Linked DNA regions of Canis lupus familiaris. The protein of the gene in region 2 interacts with the protein of the main gene of each other region in a pairwise test. Links are inferred from orthologs where the notes say so. Each region holds a gene or a part of one and is shown on either strand. Other genes may lie near its edges.

Region 1 (6,561 bases), on a different chromosome or scaffold from region 2:
GTGGGACTCGATCCCGGGACTCCAGGATCACACCCTGGGCTGAAGGGGGCGCTAAACCGCTGAGCCACCCAGGCAGCCCTAAAGCCCTTTTCATAGGCTAATCTCCCCAGGGACTGGCAGGCAGCCATGGCTACTGGGAGGAAGCTTTCTGCACCTGTTAGTGTCTCCTAGAGAGCGGGCCTGAACCCAGCTTTGAGGAGGTATCTGAGACCTGTGTGTGGCTCTCACTTTCCCCATCCTTGATGTGGCCTGGAACCCGAGGGGGCCTGAAGGGCTTTTCTCCAAGGACCCAGAGCAGCATGCTAGGGTCACTCACTGGAGCACAGTAAAACTATTCACCACATTTTTAAACCTGACACTCCACCCTCAATACGTAGATTTTTTTTCAAAGTTTAAAAAAAATACTTTTTTTTTTAAACTATATTTACTTTTTTTCCTACGTTAACCCTGCAGAACATAGATCCCCATTACTGTGATGCCCTCCCTGGAAAGAGATGAGGAATTAACAGCAGAGCTATTGGGACGCCTGGGTGGCTCAGCAGTTGAGCATCTGCCTTCCACTCAGGGTGTGATCCCAGGATCCGGGATCGAGTCCCACATCAGGCTCCCTGCGAGGAGACTGCTTCTCCCTCTGCCTCTCTCTGTGTCTCTCATGAATAAATAAAAAAATATTTAAAACAAAACAAAATGAAACAAAAAACAGCAGAGCTATTATTCATGTGCTACCCTTGGGTCCAGAGAGGACATTCCCCTTCTACAGTAGGACTGGGCTGCATTTCCATTTTCCTGAACCAGCCACCTGCGCCCCCACACCTCCATGTGACCAATAACACTAGTATGTAGCTAGTGACCGGAAAAGTGTGGACTACAGCTTTGGGGTCTATATATGGATGGAGTCACTGTCCTGGCCTCCTTGAAGCTGTGTTTCTTCAAGATTGGCCTTGACAAAAAAAAAAAAAAAAAAAAGATTGGCCTTGACAAGGTGATCGGTCAGTGGTGGGTAAACTTGATATACTCTTCTGGCTCCATCGAGGCAGAGAAGGGAATGTTCTCCCATGGAGGGACTGGGTTTCAGATCAATTAGCCCCATTTCCCAAAAGAGCACCTGGCATAATTGGTCATGTGACACAGTGTATGGACCCCAAGAGAAGCTAGGAACCCTACAGAAGGGTCCCCTACCACAGTTCTAAGAGGAATGAGGCAGGAGTAAATGTGGTGCTACCCCTAACTTCCCCAGGCATCTGGCTCATTTGGGTATCAAATCCAACAATGACAGATACTGAGAGAAACTCATCTTTTTTTGACACTGTAGTATTTCTGCTACCTTCTTATGTAGGCAGAGTAAGGGCTTCCCAAAGATGTCTACATCCAACCTCTGGAACCTGTGAATATGCTACCTTATGTGGCAAAAACAAACAAACAAAAAAACTTGCAGATGTGATTAAGTTAAGAATCTGAACGTGGGGAGATTATCCTGGATCATGTGGATGAACCCAATGTAATCACAAGGGTCCTTACAAGTGAAAGAAGACAGCTGGGTGGTCCAGTGGTTGGGGGTCTGCTTGGGCTCAGGGCATGATCCCGGAGTCCCGGGATAGAGTCCCACATAGGGCTCCCTGTATGGAGCTTGCTTCTCCCTCTGCCTCTCTCTGTGTGTCTCTCATGAATGAATAAATAAAATCTTTTTAAAAAAAAAAGTGAAAGAAGAAGTCAAGAGTCAAAGGAGATGTGACAATGGAACAATGTCAGAGTAGTGCAGCTTGACAAAGGCTTAACTAGCCAGTGCTGGCTTTGAAGATGGAAAGGGGACCACACGCCAGGGAACACAGAAGCCTCTAGAAGCCAGAAAAGGCAAGGAAACTGATTATTCTCCGGAGCCTCTGAAAGGAATGCAGCCCTCCTGACACCCTGATTTTAGCCCCATGAGACCCATTCCAGACAACTGACTTCCAAAATTGTAAGATAATAAACCTGCATTGTTTTAAGCCACCAAATTGGTCAGAATTCATTAGAGTTCATAGGAGACCATATACTTGCCTCAAAAACTCCTATGCTTCCAATAATAGGAATGAGAGCTTACTCCCTCTCTTTGTGATCCAGCAGCAAGGCCCTGCCTACAGTGGTGCTAACAAATATTAGTGGAATGAATCTACTCGCCCTCACTCCATGGAAGGAACACGTGTGTGTTATGGATAACACATGTGTGTTATCTATGTCATTTAGCCACCACTACACACATAATCACTTCGGACTTACAACTGAGTGTCCCCTAGTGTTTTCTTATATTAATGCACCTGGCTTCGATGAGAAGCTTCCTGAGGGGAAGGGCAGACGGGGTCTGAACGCAGGGCCAAGTGCTAACTGAGCCACAAGTGCCCTCTGGGATTTTTTAGTAACATGAGGCTAAAACCCGGACTGCTTCAGGATCAAGGAGAAGGAAGAAAGGAAGCAAAGGACATTCCAACTCTTCTAGGGAAAGTTTACCGGACCAATACAGGCTGGGAAGGACCTTCTCTGGCCATCACCACAGTATTTGTGTGAATTACTGAAATTAAGTGTAGTGCATCACTTATCTCTTTTTTAGGGCCCAGTCTCCCTACTTCCAAGGAAAGAGGCTGATGTTTATGAATTATGCCCACTGTTGAATTTCTATCAGTGGATCAATGTGCATCCTAAACCAGTTCTCAGTTTATTAGGAAAGGGTTTTCAGAGATTGTTGTTCCCCCTTGTAACACCTCAGTGCCTGCTATGCTGTCAACACCCCCAGAACAAGCTGAGACAAGCTATGCCAAGACAGCAAGCAGGGAAGTGCTAAACTTAAGTCCTCAATTACTTGCACCCATCCTGTGTAAAGATGAGAGTTCAGAACTGTCGCTCATTCTTGGCACAGATCCTTGGGCGCCTCTGAGGCCAGTTCCTGATATGAAGCAGTTCCCATGTCCTGGCTTTGAGATTTTGTGGGATTATGCATAAGGGTAGAAGAAATTGGAAGAGTTTAGGATAAATCCCAGGTTCCTGATGTGGGTGATGAGAAAGGGGGCGAGCTCCATTAACTCAGTGTGAAGACAGAAGAAAGAGTCTCAGAAGAAACACATATCACCACCATGCTGCATCCAAGCAGCCTGCAGCAGACCCATTTGGCAACATCTAAGCAGACGCTGGAGATATGGGGTGAAGGCCCCGGAATGGAGGTCTTGCATGGAGTAATCAATGTGGGGAGCTAATGCTGAGAGAACAGGTTCATAGATCAAATCTTCCAGGGTGGAAAGGCTAAAGGGCAGAGTCTGAATGCCTGGTCAACACCAACATTGCAGAAAACTGACAGAGGAAGAAGGTAGCAAAAGAAACTGAGAAGTTTGGTGTGTTGGTTAAAAGGGACAAGCGAGAAATGTGGTCTTTTAGAAGCTGAAGACCTTGAAAGAACGTCTCAGGAAGGGGAGGGTCAGTGGTGTCGAATGTTTCAGCAAAGTGATGTGATGGCTGATGAGCCTAGAAAGAAGCCCCTGGACCAGACAGTGCCAGGGCACTAGCGACCTCTGCAGGAGCAGCTTCCATAGGAAGGGGGTGTGTGTGCGCACATGTGTACTCACGTATGGTCATGTACGTGTGTGTGCATGTGTGTGCCTGCACGTGTACGTGTGTGGGTGTATGTGCATGGCTGTGCACATGTGCATGTGTGGGTATGTGAGTGTACATGTGGATGTGTGCATGGCTGTGTGCCATGTGCACACACGTGTATGTGGGGGGTATGTACATGTACATGTGGGTTGCATGCATAGGTGTGTGTGTACGTGGGTGCACGTGTGTGTTCGTGGGTATGGGTGCATGCATACGTGCATGGGTGGGGAAGGGCAGCAGAGAGGCCAGCAGAGAGGACCGGGGAGTAAACGGCACTGAGGCCAGTGGAAACAGCAGGATCTCTTGAAGGAGTTGGAAAGGGAGGAAGGAAAGAAAATCAATGGGGCAGTAGCTTGAAAAAGAATTGAGATGGAGAGGAGGTTTTGTTTTATTCTGTTTTGACTTACAAAAGGAACTTGAGAGTGAGAAACAACCACTGGATGAGGGAGAAAGATGTCAGTGAGTGAAGAATCCCAACACTGGGCTGGAAGGACACAGTGAAATGAGATGTGAGTGTCCAAATTGGTGGCGACCAGGACATGACCTTGGGGCCGCCACCACAGTGCGAGAGCGGAGGATGGCTCCTCTCCGGGGGGGCCCTCATGTGGCTCTGCCCCAACCACAGGCTCACCTCGTGGAGTTTGTCAGCCTTCTGGGTCTGCTTCTTCCGACTTCTCTGAGCAGCAACTCTGTTTTTTTCTCTCCTTCGGACCTTCCGATCATCATCCTCGGGACTCTGGGGGAAACGTCTGGTTAGGTGCATTGTCTGGCCCCTTCCTTGACCCTCTTCTGCCCTCTTTCCTCAGCATCGCTTGGCTTCACTATTTTATTTGCAATCAGGGCCAGCGCTTGTTTCTTCATGGGAGGGACAGCAGTTCAGGAGCACTCCCCACGTGTTGGGCTGGCCTTACGTGTTAATACCCATGAGCACCCTCAGAAATGTGTGGTGTGACTGCCATTTAAAAGATGAGGATAAGAAACTCAGAGAGGGTAAGGAACTTGCCCAGGTATCACAGCTTGTAAGTGGGTAAATGGGAAGTGGAACTCAGGTCTGTTGGACTCCAAACCAACGTTCATAAACCTCTACCCCACAGGGTGTGTGCCTGGAAGAGGTGCGGTGTCAACGTCCATCTGAGAACAAGGAAGGCAGAAGGCATGTGCTATCTGGAACTTGCTGTGTGCCAGGACTTATGCCACCACACACAAACAGGTACTTTTGATGCCGCGTGCAAATATTACGCTTATAACTAACTGCAAACACACAACTCTACCAACACATCCAATGATCTTAAACACCACCTCATTTGAACAATGCATGATGGACATTTTGTTTCACGGGTCAGAGTGAATCAGAAAGCAAACTGATGAGGTGTCTTGAAAGCTCTCAGCTTTATATGAGATTTAACCAAGCCTAGTTGAATCTTTCAAGTGTTCTGAAACAGGCAGGCTAAAAAAAAAATGTACCTACCAAGGTAAAAACATTTCAGTCATAGAAAAACATGGAGAAGTAGAGTATTTGTTTTCCAGAATCCTGTGAGAAGGTACCAAAGGGGTGAGGAGGGGGTATCCTGTTTTAAAGAGATAGTTTAAGAGGCAAGAGGTCGGGATGCCTGGGTGACTCAGTGGTTGAACGTCTGCCTTTGGCTCAGGGTGTGATCCCGGGTCCTGAGATCGAGTCTGACATCGGGCTTCCCGCGGGGAGCCTGCTTCTCCCTCTGCCTGTATCTCTGCTTCTCTCATGAATAAATAAATAAAATCTTTAAAAATAAATAAATAAATAAATAAATACCAAGAGGTTAGTAAGATACAAATACAGGAAAGCTACTTAAGTATTAATATTAATGGAAAGCAAATATTAATAATATGAAATAATGAGTAATTTCAGTTATTTTATCTGGTCTTGTATTCTTTTTTTTAAATTTTTATTTATTTATAATAGTCACAGAGAGAGAGAGAGAGAGAGGCAGAGACAGGCAGAGGGAGAAGCAGGCTCCATGCACGGGGAGCTCGACGTGGGATTTGATCCCAGGTCTCCAAGATCGCGCCCTGGGCCAAAGGTAGGCGCCAAAGCGCTGCGCCACCCAGGGATCCCTGGTGTTGTATTCCAAATAGAAGAGGCACATATCTTCTCCCCAAGTTCTGATGGGTAAGGAATTTTCAGTATGTGGAGGAACGTAAGTCTATAGAAGGAGACAAATAAATAACATATATAAAAGTAATACAGCAAATGGATGTGGTCTGGAAGTAATGCTTAAGGGACTGGCACAAGGTGTTAAAATGTAGTTTTTTAAAGGCAAAGAAGTCTTGGTTAACATAACCAGAACACCATAGGGATAAAATGTGATGTACAGCACAGAACTTTAGCTTTAGAAATACATAGCCCCCAGTTTTTTCTCTTACTGTCAGTATAGCCAGGGGGAAATGGGTTAATTTTTCCGAATGCTCAACTTTCTCATTTATTGTAAATGCGAGTCATTCATTCTTTCAAGAAGTATTAGCTGAGTACCTGCCATGTGCCAGGCACTGGTTTAGGACTGGAGATGCATGCCCTGAACAACTGATCAGTCATCTCTGCAGCAATCATTCTAACGGCCTAATGCTTAGGACTAGCATAGGATAAAATAAGATTTTTATCCTAAAGCTCCCAGGACAGAGTATGCCCTTAGTAACCTCTGTAGAGGTTGCTAGTTTTTGAGTCTCCCATAGTGCTTGTCACCAAATCATGCCTCTTCGTTCACAATCAAAAAGTCATAGGACACAAGAAAACAACCTGCATCCTGCCCTCTGAGAGTGGACACTCAAAACTGGATTTACGGGAAGCCCAGGTGGCTCAGTGGTTTAGCACCGCCTTCGGCCCAGGGTGTGATCCTGGAGACCCAGGGTCGAGTCCCACGTCAGGCTCCCTGCATGGAGCCTGCTTCTCCCTCTGCCTGTGTCTCTGCC
Region 2 (6,662 bases):
ATGAGGACACATAGAGCATGCATTTCGCTGGGTTGTTGGAAGCAGGAATGAGTTACTCTATGTAAACCGCTTAGGAGACTGCCTGGCCCATGCTAAGAGCCATCTAAGTGTTAGCTATTAAAATAATAATTATTATTTCTCAGTCTGTCTGCCTATCTTAAGTGTCTCTGAGTCTCACTGTTAGCCTGCATGACGCTAACACTGCCCCCGGTCTGTCGCTCTGGGCATCTCTCCCTGCCCTGACCCCCGCCCCCATACATCCACTTTTCCTTGTTCCATCTTTGTCGTCCATCTCGACCCTCTCTGGGCCAGCCTCACGTCTGTCCAGGGCTCCCCTGGCCTGGCTAACCTCAGCCCTGGCCAGGGCTGATTCACTGTGCCCTCCTGGCCTGTGGGACCTGCAGGTTGGCTTCCCAAGATGCTGCCCTCAGGCTAGACCTGCCCAGCCCCCCAACGCTGCCCGCTGCGCCCCCGCAGGGCCCGGCCAGATGTCAGCTGCAGTTATTAGCATGGGCGGGAGACACAGGCCTGGCAGCTCGCCCGCCAGACTCAGCGGCCAGCCGCTGGAATCTCCCTTGAGCCTGGGGTGGGGTTAGGGGAGCAGTTCAAGCAAGAGGAGGAGGGGAGGGAGCACCCAGGGGTCACAAGGACCCTCCAAAGATGGGGATACCCCCAGCTTCTCATGGGACCTTCCTCCCTAACTTCACTGCTCTGCTGGACTTCCCCAGCCCCCACATGGCTCAGTTTCTTTTTTGCCTCTTTCATTTTCCTTCTCTTCCTGGCACTTAAGTGTGCTCTCTGCCTGTCCCACAAAGGCAGGCTAGCCCCTGTCTCTCAGCCTCTCTCTACGCTAAAGAAACTTTCATCCTCCCAGAAGACAGAGGCATCTCTCTCTGAGAGAGAGAGAGAGACACTGAGCTTCCACCAGTTCTAGTGGCTCACATTCTGCTTGGAAGTCCCGCCTTAAGTCTAACTAGGAGCCTCGCTATCTAAACCTCAGTATAGTGCTGGGAAAGGGGCACAGAGTTCCCTTAGATTCTCTCCCCTTGGATTTTCTGGTCTCCTCTGACGGGATGAAGGAGATACCCTGGAGAGGAAGAGACTGTCCACCCCTCTTTTAGGTATTCTGGATGGTTGAAGGACCCCCAGATTAAAACGGGAATAAGGCCCTTTGCCCACTGGTGTGAGGGAGGGAAGGGGCATCCTAGCCCCTCGGGATGTGGGAGGAGAGGCCCAGACCTCCTGGTGGAAAGGTACCCCACCCGAGGAAGGAGGCAGTCGTGCCAGCCCGCCCAGGCGCCGGGGGCGCCTCGAGGCATTGGCCCGCCCCTCCGCGCCCAATCGGGCCGGGGGCGAAGTCCGACCCAGGCCCGCGGGCAGGCGGGGACCTGCCAGGCCGGGCCGGGCCCGGCAGGACGCAGCCCCAGAGCAGCTGGGTGGGGCCCAGCGAGGCGGCCGTGGGGGCCTCGGGGGCGGCGGCGGGGCTGGTCGGGACTAGCCGTCCGGGGGCCCGGGCGCGCCCTGGGACCTGGCAGATACCCGGGCTCCCGGGTCCTGGCTCCGGGCCCCGGGACGGCGCTGGCCCCACCCCTTCCTGTGTCCTTATATGGGCGCGGGGGAGAGCCTCCCGGGGCCGCCCCGCCCCCAGTTCTGCCCGCGGACTCCGGCCTGTTGCCATGGCGACCAAGCCCGCTCCCGGGCGCGTCCCCCTCCGTCGGGCTAATGGAATCGTCCCCGGACCGCCTGCCTCCGCGGTCGCCTGCGGGTGCTGCGGGCTGAACCATTGCTGGGAGAGGGAGACTAGAGGCCTATGCGGCTGGGCGTGTTCTGCGCACCCTGGCCTCCGCCAGGGTCGCACGTCCACGTTCCTCTTCTGAGGCGCAGAACCCAACCGGACCCAGGGCGGGGCGCACGGTCCCGTAGGATCCGAGTGACGGAGGCAGGGCCGGGCTCCTTCCCCCGGGGCTGTTGCCACACTTCCTGCCGCGGCGCTCTTTCCCCAGCCTGTTTCTAAGGAAGGAGTGGGGTTGGGCGACCGCGCCCGGGCCGTCGGGGTAGGTTCAGCACCCTGAGTCGGCACGGTGTCGGTCAAGCCCCGGGTCACGGGGGGAGGGCTTGGAGATGGGAGCAAAGTATACTGGCGCCTAGAAAGCACCCACAAGAAGGGGTGGCCAGTCATGGAAGATCCAGCAGTCCAAATCCCCAGGATCCTCAAAAACCCCTCCTCTCATGTCTCAGCTGGAGACCCTGTGTCATTATCATCTCGGCTCTGAAAGTGTGTCCGGACTCTTAACTCTCCTTCATCAGGGCTTTGCAGATGACCCCAGTGACTCCCAACCTCTGACAGGGTCCCCCCCCCCATAATTTCCCAGACTCGGTATACCCCGGAGCCCTCACTTTCTACATAACTAGATTCCCCTTATGGAGGCCCTCAGTCTCTCCCATGGACTTCAGGACCCCTACTCATTTTTTGCATAATGGATCCTCCATCCCCTCCTTTTGCCCTTTTGATCCCCCCCTCACTTTTCCTGGGTTCAGTCCCTCTATTAAAATTCAAGTCCTTTAACCCCTCTGTACTCAGGACCCCCACACATTACCTTACCCCTCTCTCATTTACTCTGGTTGATCCTCCTGTCTCACCTTTGTGGGGTCTCCCTGTGTATATAATCAGCCCTTCAACCCCCCTCGAATACTCCGAGTCCCTCAGGCCTTTTGTGTACACCCTGGAGACCACCCCCGCCCTCCGCCCCAACACGCACACGCGCACGCACGCACACACACACACACACACACACACTTGCTTTGTAACAGTTCCTCGCATCCAGGGGAATCAGTGCCTTCCCTGGAGTCCCTCCCCGTGTATCTCGGACCAGCACCCCTTCCTTCGCGCACCCCGGGGTCCCCTGAGCCCCTCCCCCTGCAGCCGCGCCGAGCCACCCAGCCCGTGGCCGCTGTTTACAAGGACACGCGCTTCCTGACAGTGACGCGAGCCGCCTCCTCCCCTTCCCCACGCTGGAGGAGGGGGGCGCGGGGGCCCGGCTCGCGCGACGGCCAATCGGAGCGCACTTCCGTAGCTGACAATAGCCGTATAAAGGCGTGTGGCTCAGCCTGAGCTGCCGGGACCTTGAGCGCGGCCAGGCCAGCACCGGAGTCAGCAGGGAGCGGGGAGCAGGGGGAAGCGACACCAGGAAAGCGAGCGCGCCGGACAGGGGCCGAAGGGCTCGAGAAGCCGCACGGAGCTTCCGCGCACCGCCGCCGGCTGGCCTCTCCCGGCCGGTGCCAGCTCCTGGGAACGCGCGTCCAGATACCCAGTCCAGCCACCGTCGCGGACAGGGCGCCGCTCGCCGCAGCGAGGCCCGGGGCGGCCCCGCAGGGACCCCCCCAGACCGCCTGGGCCGCCCGGATGTGCACTAAAATGGAACAGCCCTTCTACCACGACGACTCATACGCAGCGGCGGGATACGGCCGGGCTCCGGGCGGCCTTTCTCTACACGACTACAAACTCCTGAAACCCAGCCTGGCGCTCAACCTGGCCGACCCCTACCGAAGTCTCAAAGCCCCCGGGGCGCGGGGCCCGGGACCAGAGGGCAGCGGTGGCAGCAGCTACTTTTCCGGCCAGGGTTCGGACACAGGCGCGTCGCTCAAGCTTGCCTCATCGGAGCTGGAGCGCCTGATCGTCCCCAACAGCAACGGAGTGATCACGACGACACCCACGCCCCCGGGACAGTACTTTTACCCCCGCGGGGGAGGCAGCGGCGGAGGTGCGGGGGGCGCCGGGGGCGGTGTCACCGAGGAGCAGGAGGGCTTCGCAGACGGCTTTGTCAAAGCGCTGGACGACCTGCACAAGATGAACCACGTGACGCCCCCCAACGTGTCCCTGGGCGCCAGCTCGGGGCCCCCGGCTGGGCCCGGGGGCGTCTACGCCGGCCCGGAGCCACCTCCAGTCTACACCAACCTCAACAGCTATTCCCCAGCCTCTGCGCCCTCTGGAGGCGCCGGGGCCGCCGTCGGGACTGGGAGCTCGTACCCGACGGCCACCATCAGCTACCTCCCACACGCGCCACCCTTCGCTGGCGGCCACCCGGCGCAACTGGGCCTGGGCCGAGGAGCCTCCACCTTCAAGGAGGAACCGCAGACCGTGCCTGAGGCGCGCAGCCGCGACGCCACGCCACCGGTGTCCCCCATCAATATGGAAGACCAGGAGCGCATCAAAGTGGAGCGCAAGAGGCTGCGGAACCGGCTGGCGGCCACCAAGTGCCGGAAGCGGAAGCTGGAGCGCATCGCGCGCCTGGAGGACAAGGTGAAGACACTCAAGGCCGAGAACGCGGGGCTGTCGAGCACTGCTGGGCTCCTCCGGGAGCAGGTGGCCCAGCTCAAACAGAAGGTCATGACCCACGTCAGCAACGGCTGCCAGCTGCTGCTCGGGGTCAAGGGACACGCCTTCTGAACGCCCCCCCATACGGACATTCCCCCAGTCTGGACGACTGGGCGCACGCCTCCCAAGGGGCGAGGGGGCAGGCGGTGGGCACCGGCCCCCGGGGCACCGCAAACCACACTGGACTCCTGCCCGCCCGCTCTGCGTCCAGTCCTTCCACTTCGACGTTTACAAGCCCCCCTTTCGCGTTTTTTTGTATGTTTTTTTTTTTTCTGCTGGAAACAGACTCGATTCATATTGAATATAATATATTTGTGTATTTAACAGGGAGGGGAGGAGGGGGCGATCGCGGCGGAGCTGGCCCCGCCGCCCGGTACTCAAGCCCGCGGGGACACTGGGGAAGGGACCCCCGCCCCCTGCCCTCCCCCCTCTGCATCGTACTGTGGATAAGAAACACGCACTCGGTCCCTAAAGAGTTTATTTTAAGATGTGTTTGTGTGTGTGTGTGTTTGTTGTTCCGACTTTTTATTGAATCTATTTAAGTAAAAAAAAAAATGGTTCTTTATTAATTTGTTGTCTTTTTTTCCAAGCCGGGCGGGAGGAGGGAGGAGAATAGTGGGCTGCCCCCACCCCACTCCTGCTTGTGACTCGCGCCAGTGTCCGTGTCCTCCTCGCCAGCTCTACCTAAGCATCTTGCAGCCCTAGTGCGGGCGGCGGACCCTTCTCTGGCCCCCTCCTCCCCGGGGTTGGAAGGGCCAGGGCGGGTACGCGGTCCAGCCGCCCATCACCAGGGGGCAGGAGGCCTGGGGCGAGACGCGCAGTGCGCGGGCGCAGCCCCGCCCAGCTGCGCGCGCTGGGGCTTTCCCCGCTGACGCAGCGGAAGCGCTGCCCCTACATGGGCCGATTCTGTCCAGTGACGCGCCGGCGGTCTCCGGGCAGATTCCGGGAATCCCCTCCCCCGCTCTGCCGGGCAGGGCTGCGGCGCCGGGAAGGGGGCCGGGATTTTCCCAGGCAGGCGGCTGCCGGGGCCCGGAAAGCCCCAGGCCTGGGTCCAGAGCGTCCGCGGTGGGAGGGCCAAGCTCCTGGGTCCCGGAGCCAGCCCCGAGCCCGCCCCATCGGGTCGGCGTCGGGGCCCCGCCGCGCCCACGCGCGCTCCGTCTGACCTGACCCGGGCGGGGGGTTGCTGCAGCCTTCGCGCCGCCGCCGCCGCGGTACCCCCCCACCCCCGCCAGGAAGGGCGGCGCCCGCCTGCCAATTTCCCCTCCCGGGTGCCAGGTTGGGAGCAGGGCGCAGGGCGACTGCCAGGTCTGGTCCTGCCGGGGCGGCTGCTCGGGCTGCCGGGCGCCGCCGCCCTCTCGCGGGACGCCCTCCCCCGCAGCTGGGACGGGTGGGAGGGCGGCTGGTGCGCCCGGAGGGGGTCTAGCTGGCTTCGGATCTTGAAGCCCCCCAGAGCGGCAGAGAAAAACACAGGCTGAGAAGCCGCAGGGGTGGGGTGGGCAGAGCAGACGCTTCATTAATTCATTTACGAAATGCTCAACAACCTAGCCCTGGAGACACTGCCCGGACCGTGGCAGACAGACAATAAACAAGCAGACAGGATTCGGAGATTGTGGTAAGTGCTAGCAAGAGAAAACAAAACAAAACCGGTCAAAGTGGTAGTGATGGGGCAGGGGAGGGCTTTGGAGAATGGATTGGAAACGTGGACCTTTAATGATGCGAGTTTTCAGCTTTAAAGCCAGGCTCTGAGAAAACAACGTTCTGGGCAAGAGGGAACAAACAGCACATGCAAAGTTCCTGTGGCCAGAACAAGACCAGCCTATTAAAGAACAGCAAAAAAGCAAAACAAAACAAAAACAAAAACAAAAAAAAAAAACAAAAACTGTGTTCCTGGATTTGAGTGAACCAAGAGTGCGGAGAGGAGGTCAGGGAAACCACGGAGGGCCTTGGGGAAGGAGTGTAGATAAAATTCCAAGGCCCAAATGAGTGATTTTGGAGGATTGTTAGGCTGGATAGCAATATTAATAATGGGTCTATGGATTAAATGAGGTTTGTCCTGTGGAAGGAAATGGGGGCTCAGTGGCAAAACCACTTGCCTGAAGATACACAGCATCAAACTGCACTCCTGGGAACACACTCTGGTTCAGAAGTGACCCTCACCCTTCCACCCCAGGTGGGCCATCCTTCCAACCTAGTGTGGGGCAGAGCTTGCAACAGGGACGGTGCATGTAGCTCCAGCTCCCATTCGTGGTTCTGGTCTTAGGGCTGGCACCCCGCCCTCTTCTTCCAG

What was found.
Region 1: the proteins of JUNB (region 2) and BATF3 interact in binary tests that used the Homo sapiens proteins (3 or more experiments, as listed by UniProt). The link is inferred for Canis lupus familiaris from reciprocal best matches to the Homo sapiens genes JUNB and BATF3.

Annotation. Positions count from the first base shown.
Region 1 is NC_049228.1:10,702,414-10,708,974, forward strand, and holds part of BATF3 (basic leucine zipper transcriptional factor ATF-like 3), read right to left. Parts: intron 4,355-6,561; coding exon 4,250-4,354; intron 1-4,249. UniProt on the Homo sapiens protein: AP-1 family transcription factor that controls the differentiation of CD8(+) thymic conventional dendritic cells in the immune system.
Region 2 is NC_049241.1:49,755,691-49,762,352, reverse strand, and holds JUNB (transcription factor jun-B), read left to right. Parts: upstream 1-3,107; 5' UTR 3,108-3,403; coding exon 3,404-4,447; 3' UTR 4,448-4,944; downstream 4,945-6,662. UniProt on the Homo sapiens protein: Transcription factor involved in regulating gene activity following the primary growth factor response. Binds to the DNA sequence 5'-TGA[GC]TCA-3'.